4 linked regions of the Schizosaccharomyces pombe genome follow. Changing the gene in region 1 together with any one later gene gives a genetic interaction. Each region holds a gene or a part of one and is shown on either strand. Other genes may lie near its edges. The genes, in order: ate1, his7, SPOM_SPAC22G7.03 and osh42.

Evidence for each region.
Region 2: mutations in ate1 (region 1) and his7 together harm fitness less than expected from each alone (positive genetic interaction), as found in Schizosaccharomyces pombe (one large-scale study listed by BioGRID).
Region 3: mutations in ate1 (region 1) and SPOM_SPAC22G7.03 together harm fitness more than expected from each alone (negative genetic interaction), as found in Schizosaccharomyces pombe (one large-scale study listed by BioGRID).
Region 4: mutations in ate1 (region 1) and osh42 together harm fitness more than expected from each alone (negative genetic interaction), as found in Schizosaccharomyces pombe (one large-scale study listed by BioGRID).

What each region holds. Positions count from the first base shown.
Region 1 is NC_003424.3:2,075,943-2,081,327, forward strand, and holds ate1 (arginine-tRNA--protein transferase), read right to left. Parts: upstream 2,902-5,385; 5' UTR 2,789-2,901; coding exon 2,672-2,788; exon of another isoform or gene 2,618-2,671; coding exon 2,586-2,617; exon of another isoform or gene 2,545-2,585; coding exon 2,479-2,544; exon of another isoform or gene 2,425-2,478; coding exon 1,901-2,424; exon of another isoform or gene 1,855-1,900; coding exon 1,784-1,854; exon of another isoform or gene 1,743-1,783; coding exon 1,482-1,742; exon of another isoform or gene 1,443-1,481; coding exon 1,338-1,442; 3' UTR 1,165-1,337; downstream 1-1,164. Other genes in the region: serine/threonine protein kinase Pit1, read right to left, coding at 1-304; AAA family ATPase Elf1, read right to left, coding at 3,332-5,385.
Region 2 is NC_003423.3:2,039,526-2,044,573, reverse strand, and holds his7 (phosphoribosyl-AMP cyclohydrolase/phosphoribosyl-ATP pyrophosphohydrolase His7), read left to right. Parts: upstream 1-2,381; 5' UTR 2,382-2,427; coding exon 2,428-3,681; 3' UTR 3,682-3,841; downstream 3,842-5,048. Other genes in the region: gid2 (ubiquitin-protein ligase E3), read left to right, coding at 811-1,453, 1,514-2,067; Cu(2+) transporting ATPase Ccc2, read right to left, coding at 3,873-5,048.
Region 3 is NC_003424.3:729,179-733,658, reverse strand, and holds SPOM_SPAC22G7.03 (uncharacterized protein), read right to left. Parts: upstream 1,732-4,480; 5' UTR 1,722-1,731; coding exon 1,011-1,721; 3' UTR 900-1,010; downstream 1-899. Other genes in the region: poly(A)-specific ribonuclease complex subunit Pan2, read right to left, coding at 1-123, 164-290, 408-574, 619-717, 762-779; karyopherin Kap111, read right to left, coding at 1,953-2,043, 2,109-2,290, 2,337-2,432, 2,471-2,655, 2,696-2,933, 2,974-4,480.
Region 4 is NC_003423.3:557,317-563,166, reverse strand, and holds osh42 (oxysterol binding protein), read left to right. Parts: upstream 1-2,839; 5' UTR 2,840-2,874; coding exon 2,875-2,936; intron 2,937-3,003; coding exon 3,004-3,016; intron 3,017-3,138; coding exon 3,139-3,164; intron 3,165-3,692; coding exon 3,693-3,894; intron 3,895-3,941; coding exon 3,942-4,832; 3' UTR 4,833-5,340; downstream 5,341-5,850. Other genes in the region: Ca(2+) transporter Rsn1, read left to right, coding at 1-1,663.

The sequences.
Region 1 (5,385 bases):
AATCGAAAATATTAACTATATTTTCATTTTCGGAAAGTCTCAACAAAGAATGTACCTCGCGCAATCTGGTAGCATCAGAAACCTTAGCCAGCTTTTTCTTCATACTTTTTATAGCTACTACTTCTTTAGAAGGAGTTTTAGTAGTTGCAAGGTAAACTGAACCGAAGGTGCCATCTCCAACCTTTCGCACAACATTATATACTTCATCAATTGAAATGCATTTGCGAACCTCCTTGGTATACTTTGGTTGCTTGCCTGTAAATACGGTATTCGTAGTTGGAGTACCCCACAAATACTTCTTCATAATATATCCGCACAAAAATCGAGTTTAGGTACAAAATAGAATCAGTGAAGCACCTCAACAAAAAAGATAAAACATGCGAAATCCTGTAAAAAGAGATATAAAAAAACTTTGTTGCAAAGGCAATATTATACTTGAGAAGCAGCTTCCAAGTAGCATACAGCTTAAACGCAATAAAAATCAAATCAAAATCAGTGATTTTCAATAAAGAATGAAATTGAACAAGTAAATACACCTCTCTATACAAGTATTTATCGTTGAGAAATGGTGTAACTTATTCAAAGAAAAAATGGAAGCGGTAAATGGATTTAAGCCTGTATTAAGAAAATCACAGTGCAAATTAATGAATTCTTTATACAAATGGTACAAAAATAGATAAAAGAACAATCCCTTATTACAACACCTTGTTTTAGGAAAGTAAAAGTAAAATAACTTCAAAATGGCATTCGAAGAAAAAATCAGTGCCTAGAAGTTGAATTGTAAGCCAACCGTGATTAATTATTTTTAAAATGCAGTCAACCCAATTTTGACACGAAATGTCATCGAAATCTGGTGTTTGCTAATACTCTATAGAATGAGAACCTAGCAGTAACACTTGAGAAAGAAAAAAGAAGAACAATTAAAGTAAAATCTCTTCTCTAAATGATAAAATCCTTTCTCACCTACTATGCACTGTTTTGCGATTATATTAAGTCGTGAAGTACCGGTAAACCCGTTTTTGTGTTTGGTTGCAAACAACTCGTAACGGAAAAGCCCACTAAGTTATGTTAGGGTGACATTTTAGGTAGCGTGCAGTTATAAATAATTACAAAATAAATATATAAGCCGGCAGTATTTTATATTATTAGAAATGCTATCAACTTCGATTAAGGGACATAAAAGAGGAAACTATCACACATAAGTAGTAGCATAAAATTAACTTAATTCTGTAAGTCACATTGTAAAATTTACTCTCAAAGCCATCCTGGAGTTCATTAAGATTTTTAAGTAGGATGTTCATATCTTAAGCAAATAAAACACGTAGACAGATAATATATCAACTAGATAAAACAAGTGTATAACTCTTTGCGACTTCTTCGCCCACAGCAGCATTGATTTCAACAAACCAATGTTTAACCTGAGGGAAATAACTTAAAACATGCTGAAGAATTAGCATTGTTACTCAAAAATAAAGACATACTCTTGTGGGGAAAGTTGAATTGCCAATGTTAGCAAAATTCTCCGAAACCAAGGACTCAGCAACATTTACTGAAAGAATTCCAGGAAGCTGTCGATTAAACAGTGTATAATCATCTTCGTTTTGAGATGAATCTTCAGAAGAATCGTAGTCAACAGCAGTTTGAATATCACTATTATTTTCATCCCCGAAACTTATATATTTAGGAGCACCAGTATTCCAAAGTGAAGTAAAGTTTTCAATTGGTATCCATTTATTTGTACCCTGTTTGTATTAGTTCAAGTTAAAATCGAATGTATACGTACGGGATTAAGCAGGTACGATGGACTATACGTTGCCTTATACTTCATTTTGGGACATGTGTGAATATAATAACCTGCAAGGTCAATCAACGTAATTAAATAAATGACATTTTAGCCTACCCATGTAGTAGTACCGATATCCGCATTCAAGAGCAAGCCAGATTTCACGGCAGGCACTAATCCTTCCCAGAGAAAACTTAGACATATCAGGATCATAAAACAGATAAACGCTAGAAACACCATGTGGTAGCAAGTCTAAAACTCCAACTGCCACAAGCCTTCCTTGAAATCGATACATCTGATGATAAGAACCATACTTTATCCCCTTGTCTTCATTAAATAAAGGAGAGTTGCAAAGAAACCTGCTAAATCCTTTTTTCGTGATTTCCTCTTCTTTCTCTAAATGAACTTGCATTTGATACTTTTTGAAGACTTCAAATTTCTCATCGGTGTAAGTGCAAGGCTCCATAGTTACAGAGTATTTTTCAGCTCCGAGCGATTCTATAGTTTGAAAGGCATTGTTCAAATAATCTGTGCTAATTTCGCTTTTCATAGGTTTTAATGGCTTTCCATTTACATATTTGACCCATTTTTTTATTGCCTTCTTTTGCTCTTTTGCAATTTTAAAATTATAGCTGTCGAGTCTTCAACATTCGGCGGTTAGTAATCAATCATATTTGGCGACTTATGCTAAGTACCTGATTGTATAAAGAGAACAGCAAGATGTTTTCCCGTTGGGTTTATATAAATAATGTCCTGAACGTCTTATTTTATATTAGCAATGTTAACTAATAAAGGTTTTTACCTCCATCCCAAATCAATCAATCGCTGGTAGTCCTGAGGTTAAATGTAGGTTAGCAAAATTTGCAAAAAGCAGAGTTATACGCTTACTTCACAACTGAGCTTTTCTGCTAATAAACCAAAATGCTCGGTCTTTCTTCCACTTTTACAATAACCACATTCAGTACTGACGTTGTACCCTGTGTACAACAGTTTATCCAATACCATACTATTGTTTGAAAATTTCCCTGTTTAATATTAAATGAACTATATCATCAGTAGTAAAACTCTTAGTTCAGTTCTTTTGCCTTTATTTTGAAGGCTCTTTGAGTAGGTGAACTAAGACTACACCAATTATTTCTTGAAGATTAAGTACCCTATTTTTCGTTGAGTGCATGTTTATAGAAATTTCCTGATTAATCATATTAAAAAGTCTATCACATTTTCATACGAATATCTAGAAAAAAACCCAAAAAATACATAGTTCTCTTGACACCTTTTACAAGAGTCAATGACAAAAGTGTATACGTCTAATACAACTATAACATGCACTAACGATAAACAAAACATATAAAAAGCGACTAATATTAATATTATCCACGATACCATCCACCAAGTTCTATATATATAAATTAAGTCTAAAAGGTATATCAGTAAACCGTAAATATGTAAAAGACCAACTTCAACAACTAGCACCGTCTAAAGAAAATTAAAGGATAAACAACTCTCAACTTGTCAATCCAAAGAGCGAATTAAAAAATTAGTCTGAAATTATTCTTCATCATCAGAGAAGAATGATTTGGGTTTTTCGGTGCCCTTGGGAGATTGTAACCATGCTAATTCTCTCTCTCTAGCACGTCTTTCTTTGGCCTTGATTTCATTTCTCGTCAATTTCTTCTTTTTGGTAGCTTTAGCCTCAATCTTTTTCAAATCTTTCTCCGACAGATCTTCAAACTTTCCATCGTCAACAGCGGTCTTGCCCTTACCGGTAACCTTACCCGCTTCTACATGCCAGTGTTCAGGACACAACGCAGAAACAAATTCTTCATTATGTGAAATCATAACGACCCCACCTTCCCAATCACGAATAGCAACAGCTAAACCACCTAATGCATCTCTGTCCAAAAAGTTTGTAGGTTCGTCCAAAACCAAAAGCTGGGGGTTATTCCAGAGACACGCAGCAATAACAACTTTAACCTTTTGACCGCCAGACAAACTACTAATGGGGCTGTAATCAGCAATGTCGCCAGGAAGGCCCACATCCTCAAAATGTGCCCTGATGTCTTCGGGAATCAATTCACGGAAACCGAGACCTTCGCGAGAAGATTCCATATCATCAAAAGCCTGTACAAACTTTTGAAACCCATTTTCAAGCAATATTTCTCGAGACACCCACGTATTGTATTTATGAGGCTTCCCAAACCATTTAATTTCATATTGAAATGACTTTTTTAGTTTTTGACGGCCAATCAAAGCTTCCACTCTTCTACGTTCGCCATTGACCGTAATATCACGCTGAAGCTGAGCACGGTCTTCTTCGGTAAGTTTTCGAGATTCCTTCTCTGAAACTTCGCGGTCCTGTCCTCCAGCATAACGCCATTGAATATATTGACTTGGCGTTTTTTCCAGATGTTGATCCAAGTGATGAAAGGCATGCTGAGCAACGTAACCCACACGCAAGTTGGGATGCTTGAAAACTTTTCCTTCTTGAGGGATTACTTCACCGATAAGAACTTTAATAAGCGTTGATTTACCAGCACCGTTAGGACCTAAAATGGCAACACGAGAAGATAAAGATAACCCAACGGTAACATTATCTAATGACTTCTTCTTCGCGTTGGGATATGTATAAGAAGCGTTTGTCATTTTTAATATGAGACGTGTGTTTGAGCGCACACCAGTTAAGATACCGGGAGGTGGAAAAACAAACTTCTCGTTTGTGGCTGTCAATGTATAGTATGATTTAGCTTCCGGTTTGACCTTGACAAAAGCTGAAAGATTACCTTGATAATAACCAAGCTTTTTTGCCTGGTTTTTAACACCTTCATAATGAATGATGTCAGTACACACGTGGTCCAAAAATGAAGAGTCGTGAGAAACTATCAAGCAAGTAATATTCTTTTGAGAGGTTAAATATGCTTCCAGCCATGCAATATTGGCAACATCAAGATGATTTGTTGGTTCATCCAAAAGCAAAATATCAGCTTTCTGCAACATGGCACGAGCCAACTCCAGTTTCATTTTCCAACCACCAGATAAAGAAGCAACAGGATTTTCCTGCATCTCCGCAGTAAAACCAACAGAATGCAAAGCATCAGCAGCTTCTTGACGGGTAACATTCATAGTCAGTAACGCCTTATCTTGAGCAACAAAGTCAAGGATAGCCATACTAGTATCCTCGCCTTGAAGACTATGTGCAACAAAGCAAGTTTTAACCTCATCAGGTGAGGGAAAGTTTTCAACCTTGTAATCACCAATAGCGCGTAACAAGGTTGATTTACCACAACCATTGTGACCAACAACACCGTATCGATGACCTCTATAAAGGTGAAGATTGGTATGACTCAGAAGCAATCTGCCACCGTATGCCAAAGAAAAATCAGTGTTAACTAGTTCCTCTTCCTCAATAGTAAGGTTTGAAATCCCATCAACAGAATTTAATGACTTATAGAAGGCGTGAAGGTCATCATATATCTTTGATGATATTTGTGAAGCCAATTCTTCCCCGACAAGTGGAGATAAATAAAGCACACCTAATTGCGAAGTCCATTTGTCTTTGTCAAAATTATTTGACTTATACAATGCTGCTAAGGCATCGCAGACAT
Region 2 (5,048 bases), on another chromosome or scaffold:
AAGAACTCAATAATAAAACGTACCTGAATTACAATTGCTCGACCTTTCTCCGAGAAAGTTACTTTGATAGGATCAGAGAGAAGATTAGCTTATAAGAAGATAGGTATCAACATCCGATCAATTTAATATCGGAGATCTGAACAACTTGTCTCATCATTTCCTTCTCCTGGTCGACTTTATGGAACTAAAGGGTTACAATTGCCATTCGTTTATTGATCGATAGTAAGCTTTCTTGATATCATTAAATAGGTTTTATAGTTATTTATCACCAAGTGTACATGTATTTCTAAAGTCATCCACTATGATTTAATCCAACGCCAATACAGATAAGTTTTAGTCTTTCAGTTATTTGAAGTTTCGATTCATAGGATTTTGAAATACAAGTTCAGCTGGCAATAGGAAACAGGTTAATTGCAATTAACAGAATATTACGAAATGTTGATAAAAATTCTAAATGCCGATATTGGTAGATGGGAAATTTGGTACCTGATATGTAGCAGAGTGACTTCATTTGCTCACTGATACAAAGCACTTGGCACGAGCAAACCACACTATAGGATGCTCTTATTTTAATAATTGGTGTCTAATAGTGCTTTTAAATACTTATAGAACATCTTCTCAATTCATATTATAATTCTTTCTTTTCCAATCTTGCATAGTTTTTAATCAACTGAGCAACGTGCATTGAAGATTTATTTCTTTGACGATAAAGCCCATACTTGGAGTATTTAAAACAAAGGTGTTGGAATTGGACAATATTTTAATCTATTTCGTCTTTTATTTTTTTTCGTAGTAACTTCTTTATACATAATGAATATCGACGAATGGCAGCGGATTGAAGAAACGGCGCCTGGAAATAAATGCTTAGCTAAGCTTAATGAATTGGAAAGTATATTAAAGGATGCAAAGAAATCTTGCCTAAAAGATCCTACTACATCTATGAAGGAATTGGTAGCATGCTCTGAAAAAACACAACAAGTTTTTGATGATCTGAAACGTACCGAGAAGAAGTTTCACACGTCTTTAAATCGATTCGGTAAAACTCTTGAGAAAAAATTTAACTTTGACTTAGAAGATATCAAGCTTCATTCATCGTTTGAAAGTAAAAAGCGTGAAATTGATACTGCTTTATCATTGCATTTTTTTCGACAAGGCGATGTTGAGTTAGCCCATTTATTTTGCAAAGAAGCTGGAATTGAAGAGCCCTCCGAAAGTCTTCACGTTTTTACGCTTCTCAAATCTATCGTTCAAGGGATTCGAGATAAAGATTTAAAGTTGCCCATCGAATGGGCCTCTCAGTGTCGTGGTTATTTAGAAAGAAAGGGAAGCAGCTTAGAATATACGCTTCAGAAATATCGACTTGTTTCTAACTATCTCACTACTAAGGATATTATGGCTGCGATACGATATTGCCGCACAAATATGGCCGAGTTTCAAAAGAAACATTTAGCGGGTAAGTTTAAATGATCATAAATATATTTAGGGAATTTTTGGTTTTTTTAACTTATATAAGATATCCAAAAGACAATGATAGCTTTGTTCTTTTGTTCCAGGAATGAGGTCCTTTCGGGTACAAATGACTCGCATGATTCCATCCATCATATAATATCAAACAACGCACAACTGAATATTCCCCAAGAGTATATTGATGTACTTGATCTTGATTGGAAATCCCTTGAACTTTTATTTGTTCGAGAGTTCTGCGCTGCATTGGGTATGTCCTTGGAATCCCCGTTGGATATAGTAGTAAATGCTGGGGCCATTGCTCTACCTATTCTGTTAAAGATGTCCAGTATAATGAAGAAAAAGCATACAGAATGGACTTCACAAGGGGAACTTCCGGTTGAAATTTTTTTACCCAGCAGCTATCATTTCCATAGTGTTTTCACTTGTCCTGTTAGCAAAGAACAGGCTACGGAGGAAAACCCTCCTATGATGATGTCTTGCGGTCATGTTATTGTCAAAGAAAGTCTTCGACAATTATCTCGAAATGGCTCTCAACGATTCAAATGTCCCTACTGTCCTAATGAAAATGTTGCTGCAGACGCTATTCGTGTCTACTTTTAAAAGGAATTTAAGATAATGATTTTATTTCAACTAAATTAAGAGTATTATAAATGCCACCAAAAGACTGTTTCCTAACCAAGCAAGGATTTCGCTATGCCAACGAGAATCCTAATTTGCGAAAGTGGTTTCAAAATAATGACTTAAAAAATTGATGGAAGTATTTATGAAGCTAAAAATTACTGTTTTTATCTTTGATGATTCACCTACTCTCCCTACTTGAGATCTCTTTTGAGTCAGAAAATCTGACGCATTGTAACCTGGTTACCTAAAGGTGATTTATGATTGTTACTTGGGGCGATGTGAATCTTTCGTTTGCCAAACAGAAAAGTAGTTAGAGTTTTAGGGGTATTTGACTTACAAATGGCTCTTTTACCATTTTTTGATCTTACGAACTTTGAGAGTGATGCTTCTGAAGAGTTAGGATGGCTTAAGTACGTCGGCAGAGTGCAAACAAGAGTGTTTCCTCAGCATTTCAAAGATAATCTCGAAAAAGTTCGCAAAATTTCGGAAACGATTGATGTGATCGTTGACACGACTGCTGAACTTGGACCAGAGGCCTGCGTCAACCTTTTGAACGCTGGTGCACTCGCCATACTGGTTAATGAAGAAATGCTAAACGAGTTGGCAGACATCTCTCCGAATCGTTTGGTTTTGAAGACAGACACTACTGATATTGGAAAAATTGAAAAACTTTCACAAGTTGCTGGTTCTATTCAATGGATCGGCAGTGCTGAGAATTATCCCCCTGACTTTTTTGAAAGAGCCAGCAAGATCATTCACAAAGCTGTAATGCCTGAGGGTGGAGGCCGAACTTTATATTTGGAGTTCCCCGAACAACCATCTATGGAGGTACTGAAATCTTTTTCTGTTCACTCTGTCGTTCCCGTTCTGTCAAGTTCTTTCTTGACAGTGAAGCCTGCCGAAGAGCCCAAGAAGTTATCATTAGCTGATCTCATTTTGATATCTGCCAATACTGATCGTGAGGATGGACTATTTTCTACTTTAGTCGTCAATGAGCTCGGTATTGCACTTGGTCTCGTGTATTCTAGCAAGGAAAGCGTTGCTGAGTCTTTGAAGACTGGCACTGGAGTTTATCAATCCCGCAAACGTGGCTTGTGGTACAAGGGCGCATCTTCTGGTGCTGTTCAACACTTAATTCATATTGACGTCGATTGTGATGAAGACTGCTTGCGCTTTGTCGTCTATCAAACCGGTAAAGGTTTTTGTCATCTTGACACCTTGCATTGCTTTGGACAAGCTTCAGGACTTTGTCAGTTAGAAAAGACTTTAATCGATAGGAAGAATAATGCTCCTGAGGGATCTTATACTGCTCGTTTGTTCTCCGACCCAAAGTTATTGCGTGCAAAAATTATGGAGGAAGCTGAAGAGTTGTGTGATGCTACCACCAAAGAGAATGTTATTTGGGAAATGGCTGATTTGATGTACTTTGCCATAACCCGCTGCGTCGGTTCGGGTGTTAGCCTTAATGACATTAGTCGTCATCTTGATTTGAAACATCGTAAAGTTACAAGAAGAAAGGGAGATGCTAAAGTTGCATGGCAAGAGAAACTTAAAGACAAAGGAGGAGTGGCAAACACGTCTTATACTGCCTGAATTTTTTAAATTTCTACTCTTCATTCGCAGATGATAGCAGTCGGTCTAAGGTGTAGTCTACTAAAACCTTGCTAATGCGGAAATTTTTACTTTGTGTAATTATTTAATAATGAAAAAAAATTCATATTTGCTGTTTGTACTAATATTATTTGTTTTATATTGTTTAATTTGAGCGCTGGATAGATAATAACTCAGACTTCATTAGCCACTGGCTGGTATTTGTTGCTCGACTTATTCCTACCAAATATCGACCTTGTCGCTGTGTATACCTTCTGTAATACACTAGAATTAGTTGAACTCTCTGTTTCAACATCATCTGCTTCACTGAATATAAGGCTCTTAGGCTTTTTCCATCTCCTGAGAAGTAAGCTACTTGCAAGAACACTAAGAGAAGAAAACATCATAGCAGCACTAGCCCACATAGGATTTAAGTAGATTCCCCATGGAAGGAAGAAGCCCATTGCAATAGGAATCATGACAAAGTTATATATGCAAGCCCACACAAGGTTCATTTTAATTCTTTTAACGATAACTCTAGACAAATCAAAGGATACTGCGGTATCAAGTAGAACGCCTTTACGTACAAGTATTACATCTGCACTTTCTAAAGCAATGCCTGATCCATTAATGGGAGCAATGCCAACATCAGCCAACACAAGTGAAGGCGAATCATTTATACCATCACCTACCATAGCGACACAATGCTTCTGATCTTTTAACTTCTGAATAATTTCAGCCTTTTGAGAGGGAACTGCTTCCGCGTAAACATCAGAGAAATCGATTTCTAGTCCTTGGGCAACGCGTCGGGCAGTGGCTTTTTGATCACCCGTCAATAAACAAACCTTTTTACCTAATTGTTTTAAAGCGGATACAGTTTGGTACGAGTCGGGCCGCACTTGGTCCATACAGCCCAAGAAACCTACAAACTGGCCATCGATAGCGATACGAACACAAGTAAGCCCACTACTAGAAGAAAGCTTCAGCTTTGAATCAAAGTCATCAGGTATCGACACGTTGTTATGTTCCAGTAACAGTGAATTCCCAAGCAAAGCATGAAAAGTCCGCTCTTTCCACCTAAGTACAACATCAACACCTTCACCTGGCACAGCATTGAATGATTCAATTCCAATTTCAGAAACATCGGTAAATTCTGAAGCTTTCTCAGTAATAGCTTTTCCAATTGGATGTTCACTTGAAGACTCTGAAGCTTTAACAAAAGCCCAAAAAATATTCTTAGGAATGTCAAGTAATTCCTCCAAATTATCTACAATGCTTATGTCGGTGACACTTAGCTTACCCACTGTAAGTGTGCCTGTCTTATCAAAGACAACAGTGTCAACCTGATTTAGACGCTCTAAAATTTCACC
Region 3 (4,480 bases), 1.3 Mb from region 1:
CGCTACAACTTTATTGACTGGCTGAAAACTATTTGGGTCGCGAAGAATAATTTCACCATTTGTAGATCCACAACAGAGAAGTCTATTCCTTCGCATTATGAAAATGTCACTAACGTTTTTGTCCTATTAAATGTTAGTGATACAGGACACAAAGGAACATTACCTTATGAATTGAAATTCCTCGTTCAGCATTAACAACCGTAAGCTTTTGATGATATCCTCCTATAACAACTTCGGGATTATTACGACTCTGGTAGAACATAGCCCGGTAATCTATACAATCAGAATCCCTAGAGATTAGTACTGCATGTTTTGAACATAGAAAGCATGAATACAAAATGATCATAGATCGCTGAACACAAGGTACGGAACTACTAGATCAAGAATGCATATCATGATATACTTACTGATATCTCCATCTTATTGTTCCTTTGCGATTACTCAATCGTAAAGATTTACTAGAAAGGGAAAATACACCCCTTTCCTGTGGTAATACTTGGTGCACCGGACCCTCATGCCCAATGAATTGAGTATACGATGTTAGTGAGGGTCCGAAAGAAGATTTAATTTGACCCTAGAATTTACTTAGTTTCATAATTAATCTTTAATCTAACTTACATTTTTATGTCCAGTCCATACTAATTCTGAGTAGGGATCAAAAGCAATAGAACTTAAGGAACACGTCGATACACCATCATTTTCAGTTGTTTTGGTAATCTAATTTGTTAAAATTTATAATGGAATATTATAAAAATAATTACTTCTTTCCACGCATCCATCTCTCATTTCAAACAGTTGACTATAACCTCTTTCTCTAGGAGTTGAAGTGTTGGTCATAGCAAGCCAGGTTTACCTAATGAAAACTAGTAATACAACACAAACCTACGATTGTGATTTCAATCAGATATTAAATAGTTATATTAAACATTTGTATATAGTTGATAATCTGCAATGTTTTATATGCCTTTTCATTAGAACTAAATATTATATTAAGCGCCTGGTTATGAAAATTATAATGCAGAATGATCTTTTAAACTCATGCCACGAAAGCATGTATTAGCAAGCCAATCTACTAAAACTTTGTGTCTTCGATCGACTAATCGTCCTTCATCTTTCTCATGCGATTTTCTTTTCGATTCCCAGAATGTTGGTATCCATGTAGCATAAATAGTTTCTAAGCTAACGGTACGTTGTGTATCCTCATTAATTGAAATATCTTCAATAATAGGTATTCGTTCTTGTAAACCTCCTGTCTCACAAACTATAAGTATTTTACTATTTTGTAAGCAAAGCATCAAATACCTAGATAGGTAACGTCCATTTAAGCAACCCCTAATTTTTAGCAGTTTGGAAATATCTGCTATTCCCAGTATTAATTTTGCGTGCTTTAAACGTACTTCAACTATTTTTTCTAAATCATCCACATGAGAACAAGGAATCAATTGAATTCGTTCTAAAACTGATTGAAAATGAATGGAATAAGCTTCCTTAGCTAAAAATCCATCAAATGGATTTTCCATTCTTAGAATGTTTTCCATTGGATTAGTCGAACCTGTTGGATATACTAACACGCCTTCGTCCACATCATTGCACTCAAGGGCATTTACTAAAGTAAGCAACATAGCAGAGATACTTCCAGAATGAACAAAAATGGGGTATTCAATGCTCGTTGACCTGACCTTTCCCCCATTTCCAAAATGCTCTTTAATTAGTTGTTGCATTAAGTAGTATAAAGATAATTTACGTGTTGTGCTCAATAAATACTCGAAAATCTTAAAAACCAATTTGATCAAAAAATTTCAGCCTATTTACTTCTTTAAAAAAACGAATGTTATTTCTCGTAAATTTTAGAATAAGCAGCATTTTGCTTATCTTTTATTATACAAAGTTAATTAACTGGAGACTATGTAGCTTGGCAGTTTCCTACCAAGCTATTTTATTTATTACATGATTTAAAAGGTCCAGCTTGAATTGCCATAAGGAGTACTTTCTAGTCCTTTGCAAAGTATCCAAAATTGTTTTACTTTGTCTTTTATTCGTGCCCTAGAATTTGTTGTTAACAAGATAATCATTACATAGACGTGATGAAAACGACAAATAATGCTTACTTAAGAAGATCTGTTAAAAATCGACGTTTGATCTCATTTGAAACATTCCGTGAAGGAAATCCTTCTTCTTCAAGTGACTGAGTAAGGCATGCTCTTGTCGCAGAGAAATTTTGTGCCTTTAATTTTCCTAATATATCTGAAAGCAACGGTAAAGAGCTCCGTGATGCATTTCCACCGAACCCCTATAAATCAGTATTAGTTTGCAAAAAAAGCATAAATATTGTTTACCAATAGTATTTTAGCAATAAGAGGACTTCGAATTGCATTCACGAAATCTGTATGAGTGTTTAGGAGGTCGCTTTTTTCGGACGTAATGAATGAAATCTTAATGTTAATATTTTTAACAGATAATGATCACTTACAATAAATTGGCCGGCTGCTGATTCTAACAATCTCTCAGGCTTGCCAAGCAAATTAATCGCGCGGTTTAAAATAAGTTGGGTAAAATCTGGATACATCGTTTCTAAAAATGAGGGGTGTTTTTGAAGAATTATTGAAAAGAAGTGATATAATTCGACTGTAATGTCGATATTGTTCATAAATGATTCTATTTTAGTTAGTATGGCACATTGCTGCTAATTATTTACCTTCATTGATTATAACAACAGAATTTTGAATCGATGAGCACATATCAATTAGCACTTTGTCAATAATATCAGTCTGGCCGTAAGGACATGTCAAAATTGCTGATCCCAACGTTAGCAAAACTGCTGCCGGAAATTCTGTAAATCTGTCACAGAAGTATTGAATGGTAGTTACTATAGGCAATGAAAATGGAGAAGGCTCTACTTCATTAAGACCAGCAATCATAATCTTGCAAATTAACTATATCATATTAGTATTTTCGGTTTAACAGATCACCTACCCCAACGACGTCGGAATACTGTAACGCCATAGACTCGGAATGGGTCAAAAAGGAAATGAGTTTTGCTTGAAATTCTGCAATGCACGATTGCTGCCAAAAAGTTGTTTCCTGGGTAGATTGCTCAACATCAATTATTGGACTTTCGCCAATTGGACTCTGACTTAAGGCCACTCCGGCTACGCTTTGGAGGCAGGATTTCAAAACGTTTTCGAATATTTCAAGATTAGGATATAAACTTGGTTGAAGTTGTGCGAGAATGCAGTTTAAAAGTCTCATCAGATAACTGATTCTTAATTCAATATCTTCTATACGTTGTGTAACATATCCAACGGAGCTATAAATCTTTTCTAGCACAGAAGGTACATATACCAGCTTGGGTGTTAGTTCTTCAACCACCGCCATGAATCCGTCGATTTCAGTTAATAGATGGGATGCACAAGTTGTACATAGAGTGTGTATTGAACGAGAGACAGTCATTTGTATTGAAGTTTCAGAAATGTGTAAGGCATCGAATAAAACTGGCAAAGATATATTAAGATATTGAGGGTGATTTTGAAGAAAGCAAGAGCAACTGCTTAATAATTGAGAACAGGTTTTTAATAGTTGCGGGTTTTGGAAAGCCGAAGCCTTTATAGCAAAACTCGTTTCAAATAACCGAGTAAGCCAGGCATCTAACGTATCACTGTCATTGGTGTCGTACTCTAAAATACAACATAAGCAATAAAATGAAACCTCTAATGATTGAGGGCTTCCTGTACCATCCGAGAAGAAATTCTCAATAGTCGTTATATACATAGCATAAAGCCTTTCTCCAAAAATGGAATAAGAACTTTCTAAAAGATCACCCAAATCACGTCTGTAACTATTGAATGAATCACGCGAACTAGAAGGCCAAGAATTCCATTGTTCGGGGGAGGGTAATAACATTTTCCACCATGCTTTTTCGACTACAGAAAATGCTATTTGCTTGAATATTTCATCCTTTGAAGGATCCGTAGCAGCTTTGCTCATCGAAAAATCCTCAATTAATGTCGTCCAGAATTCCAGAGTACGCCAGCTAACTTTTTCTTCTACTATTGCGTACCCTGGAAAACTAAGTAAAGAGGCTAAAATATACAACAATCGAATGGATTTTTCTTCCTGAATATGATCAATGATTTGTGGCAGCATTGCTTCGGCAAATCCAATAACAATGTTAAGAAAGGAATAATCATTTTCTTCTCCGCTATCAGGATCTTCTAACTCTTGTTGCAAATGAGTTTCACCCCACGGTCCAGTTAAAATAGTCCAAAGTCTTTCTATTGTAGGTTGTGTAATAAAATTGCTATAGTTCGCGAGAAGATCCGCAAGACAATTCATCGCTTTTTCGGAAACTTCATCGAGCGCTATGCAATTTACTGTTAAATCCATGCATTCAGTAAATGCTGGAAGGACACTCTGAACAGAAACCGAAGCTTTCGCCAAATATGAAGAAATAGCAATCATGCAATTTAGTGCCTCCTCCAAG
Region 4 (5,850 bases), on another chromosome or scaffold:
TGAAAATGAATTTGAGCACTACGGATTCATAACGTACAAATCATCTTATATAGCCCATGATACCGCCCGCCATAATTCCAGAGTTGCTGGTGCTTCAGTTAGTATGGCTCCAGAACCTTCCGACTTCTTATGGGATAATTTGTCATTGGCGTGGAGCACAAGGTTATTCAATCGAATGATTGGAAACATATTGTTTATCATTTTAATTATCGCTTGGATTATTGAAACCGCTTTGGTTGCAATATTCATATCAAATTTATATCACCTTGGTAGTGTTTGGCCCTGGCTTCAGCAGCAGCTTACATCTCGTTCCGGTTTTTGGTCAATTGTGCAGGGTATTTTGAGTCCTGCAGTTGCGGGTTTTACATTTATGATTTTGGAAATAATCATGAGACGTATCTCCTATTGGCAAGGAAGTTTCACTAAGTCGTCTAGAGAACGTGGTGTTTTAAATAAACTACACATCATTTTCACCCTTGACAACTTCATCATTTATACCTTGATGGCTGTATTCTGGAGACTAGGTGTAATTATTGCCTATAAAACTAAGGAAGAAGGTAACTTTGCCGAAGGCATGTCGGCGTTTGCAACATTTGATACTGTTGGTTTGTCAGTTAGTTCTTTTGTTCAATTTTCAACCTTTTGGATTATGTTTATCGCTCACTCTACTTGTTCTTTTTTTGTCGAAATTGCTCAACCTATAACCTTGACAATTCGATTAATAAAGACAAAGTTTTTTTCTCCTACTCCTCGAGACTTACTAGAGTGGACCGCTCCAACCAAGTATGTTTACAGTCAAGTTCTCAACAAGTTAATATACTTTTTTACTATTGCTATTTGTTACGCTTGCATAAACCCTTTGGTCCTTTTGTTTGCAAGTGTATTGTTTTGCGTCAATTACTTAACACAAAAATATATTTTGATGTACGTATCAAATTCCTCAACCGAAAGTGGTGGTGGGTATTGGCGCCCAGTGGTGAATCGTATTTTACTGGGATTAGAATTAGCAAACATAATTCTGTTTTTATGCTTGTGGGTACAGGGAGGTCGTGTTCGCGCTTATTGCATAATTCCAAACTTTTCCTTTGCCATTGCCTTTAAGATATGGTGCATGTTTGCTCTTGATCCAAAATCTCATTACATGATTGAGGATCCATACATGAAGGTTGTGGAGCCCTTGGAAAATGAGATTAGTGAAAGTGAAATGTGCTTTGGTCATCCATCCACCTATGCCCCATTGCTCGTGCCGATGGTTCGATCTGATGCTCGTGCACTTCTTCCCTTGTTTTACAGCGGACGTACGGAAACACATAACAAGTTTGATTTTGCTACTGACTCTGATGATGCTTCTGAGAAGCACTTACGTGGTGAGGAAGAACCATTAGAAAACGTTGATTTTGTTGATATTGATAATGTGGATACAGCCAAAGAAGTGCATGATCAGCAACAAGTTCAGCAACTCAAGAAAAATTTGTCCCGATCTTATACTCGTAGCCGTGGTGTTTCTTTAAGAGCTAGATTGAATGAGGAGGAGCTGCCTTTAACAGAATCTATTACCCAAGATTCTCAAATTAGTATACCAGAAACTCTTGAATCCCAAAGTACGGAAATTACACCAATCAATGTCTCCGAACATTATGATAAATATTACCACATTTTTTAATGGTAACTTAAACTTTTCCTTGGAATTCGAGCTTTTGTACAAAAACTTTATAACTGTTCAAATTTACTTTGGCAAAGATACATATTTGAAAACTTTTTATTTCCTTAATTCTCAACCGATTTTGTTTTGCTTAACATTTGTTTTCTATGCTCCGTTTCTTATTTGTGAGCTCTTGAGAAGAATTTAAGTGTGCTTGTATTCTTTAGGTCTCTTCTCCGACCTTTTTAAATGAAGATGAATCACCTAGATTTTGTTGTGGTGTTTACTTGATTATTTTGCGTTTGATTCATTCATTAATTTGATAGCCATCTGTTTGGTTATCTCTTTTGCGTTGTTTTCTTTCGTTCTCCTTATATTTTCCCTTTGCTTATTGTTGTTTATGTCTGCATACCTTTCTTTTCATCCCATCCCAATTTTTTTTTTTTTTTTTTTTTTTTTTAACATTTCTTGTCATAAGATCATGTTTTTTGTCTTTTCTTATTTCGCACAACTTTTTATACCTTTGCAACAAATGTCATTTTTGTTGAAACGAACATGTGATTTATCGTTCGGCAATAGCTAACTTTATGTTAAAATCAATTCTTCCCAACAAGATTACTTTTCCCACCATAACCTTGTAATTATAACAGATAGTTTGGTACATTTGAATAGATTGCTTTGACAATAATGAGTAGTAGTTTGTTAGAAATGGAGGCGCGCTTGAAGTTTTTTTGTACTTTAACTGTTTAAATAATTAAATAAACAATTAGTTTCAACAAACATCGATTATGTTAAAAAGTCGTAAAAACATGCGTCTACCAGCTGGCAGTTTCGAATCTGCTAGGTATAAATATGCAAGGCATACAACCTTTCTATGTAAAAAATATTATACATAATGTATTAAAGAATGCTAATCAAATAAGAAAAGCTTCGTATGTATTTTGCTTGCTCATAAATAGTCATTTATTTACGATCCTTCGTGCCTTCTACTGACCATTTTGCAGCTTTTATATACCACGATAAACCACGTTAAATAATTTAAATAATAAAGTCATTACTGCAGTATAATTACAGTGCAGAATGGTGTACCCTTTGTAAAATGACACTATTTTGACGTAGGAGAATAGTAGGACTGCGTTAAGCAAGAGCAGTCGAACCAACATCGCCCAATCCATGGTCTGTCGATTTTATTCTTTTACCAAACACGATAGCATTTAATTACACGATCGACAATGTCGGAAACATCAGAACAAATGGAAGAGACTGTGCAATCTGGTAATGAACCCATTTCTAAGTAAGTACCACATATGTTCTTTAATCAAATGTTTACATTTTACTAACATGTTTTTTCCTTATGATAGGAGCACTTGGATGGTATGAATTGTACTGAGTCCTATAAGATTGAAGGCATAATCAATCTGCTTTCAGCCTTATGCAAGGAATCTTACTTTTTTCTTTGACATTGTAACATTTTACTTACTTTTTCTTCAAAAAAGGGGTTCATCAAGAACTTGGCTACATTGTAAGTATATTCAGTTAAAAGAAACAAAATTGGAAATATGGTATCTTGAGAAAAAAAAAAGGTAAATTTGAACACGATGCATTCTTTTCCAACGGGAAATGTTCATTCGATTTTTAGTTTCATTCAAATCTATGTGATTTTTGTAAAAATTTGAAATATAAAAGGAACTTTTTTTAAGCGTAAAATTGCTTATAATTGTCTTATTTCCAGCAATTTGCCCGGCTTTCAAATGGCTGGCTGGTTTAGATAATGAAATAACGCGTCAAAATATGGACAAGTGCTTATTTTTGCTGTTGTTAAATTGTTTTTTACTCATGTTCTTTGCTTGTCATGCCTTTAGCTTTCATATTGATATGTGCTATTGTCCTTTCGAGTCTAACATTAAAGAGGACTTTCCAGCGCCATTTCTTAATTTTCCATCTCATAACTTTCTAGTTTTTTTCTTTTTGTTTTTCAGAGAGGAATTGTCTTTTTCTCATGTCGATTGCTCTTTTTAATCTGTATTTGAATACTAACTTTACTTCACAGTACTGGTGACTTGTCCACACTTTCAGCTCCTTCTTTCATTTTATCAGGGACATCTTTGCTCGAATACATGTCTTATTGGTTTGAGTTTCCTGAGCTATTCGTAACAATTGTCGATTTTCCCACTCCTAAAGAACGTATGCTGGCTGTTCTCAAGTGGTACATAACTGGTCTTAGTCGTGAATACGCATCCCGGAATAAGAACGTACGTCTTTATAAAATTTTATCATGTAATGTTAACCAAAATTTCAGTATGGTACTGAAAAGAAACCGTTGAACCCTATTTTGGGAGAGCTTTTTTATGGGTCATGGGATTCTAGCAAGGGTAAAGTGGAGCTTACTGCCGAGCAAGTATCCCATCACGGACCTGAATCAGCTGCTCATGTGGTTTGTAAGGAAGCCGGTATCACCGTTGATACGCATAATAAATACAGAAGTGGATTTTCAGGACGAACTGTATACGTCAACCAACTCGGCCAGCTTCGTGTTCATCTTGAAAAGTATAATGAGACATATTATATAACTCTGCCCAATATCTCCCTTGAAGGACTGTGGTTTATGGCACCTTATATTGAATTGTACGGTTCGACTTATATTGTTAGCAACACAAATTATATTACAAAGATCGATTATTCCGGCCGAGGTTACTTCAGAGGTACCAAGAATTCTTTCAAGGCTACTATCTTTGAGAAAAATGAAGATCCTGATTATATTGTTGAAGGTGTATGGACTGGCGAATCTAAATTGACTATTCCTAGTCTGAAAAGTACCATTTTTTTCTTAAGCATCCCTAGTCTTGAAGCTACTCCTATTACCGTCAAGCCTGAATCAGAAATGGGAGACTGGGAGTCTCGAAATGTTTGGAAAGAAGTGTCCGCTGCCTTAGCCAGTGGTAATTATGATATTGTAAGCTCGAAAAAGTCTACAATCGAACAATCACAACGTGATATGCGTAAGAAAGAAGAAGCAGAGGGAGCAGTTTGGGCCAGAAGATACTTCAAATGGGAAGAGCATGATAGCGATGCCAGGAATGCTTTAGCCCAAGCTGTTTTAGAAGTTATTGAACCAGGCTTCTGGATTTACATTGGTGACACTCATCCTTCATTGCCAGCAGGAGAACAACCTGTCAAACGGATGGAATAAATTTGTGTTACTTATATTTTTGTTTCTTAAATTTATGTGTGCTTTTCGGGCTGCTATAGTTTTCCGTCCTTAACAGTGTCCTTTTTTCTACTTTTGGGAGGATTGGCCCAAAAGCTCTCTTGGTTGTGCAATCAGGGCTTAAAATAATGCTTGAAAGTATATAGGTATCTTTCGCTCTTTAAACGTTCAACTGAAGTTTTACGATCAACGATTTTACTAAAGGTTCTTTTAACGGTTGGCTTTTAGTACGAAATCAGCACTTTTCATTTAGATTATCTATGCGGTATACTAGTTTATTACTTATATGTCGGTTACACATATGCATGTCAGGGAAAAAGCATTGCAATTTGATCTATACTCATTTCGAGATTTGGTAGTAGATTTTTTTTTTTCATTAAGTGATTTCTCGCTTTCTTTTTCAAGTTTATTTTTACATACTATTTGGTTTGTGATGTTTAGCTTGTATTTAATGCATTAATTGAAAATTACACTGTTCGGTGCATGAATAAATGTAGTGGTGTAGAGTTGGACTGGTTGATGAAATATGGTAATAATACCAAAGTAAATTGCTTCTGGTACAGTTAATAAATTAGCTTATAAGGCTAGTTCACCATTTATAATATTTTGTTACAAACGATTAAGTTGTTAATATTCATTGTTGAACGATTTTAAATCCTTTGAGACAAGTCTTTTATAAATTCAACGGAAGTACAGGAATGATTTGTTAGAATTGTACAACTATTGCAATTGGCTATTAATGAACGTGTTCAGTTCCAATTAAACGAATGAGGAAATCAGGAAAGCAACAAAGCGCATTGCCGTTTCCGAACGGAAAGTCCAAAAATCTAAGCAATAATAGATACACCGATATTAACCTAAATATTTGAAATGAAGCTGTTAATTTGTTTCTAAAAAAATAAGGGTATAACATCAGTAAACGAAATGAAGTTTCAGTATAAAGTGAAGATCCATTTTAACCATAAACGCAAAAGCTAAAAATTACAAAGGCAAAATATTG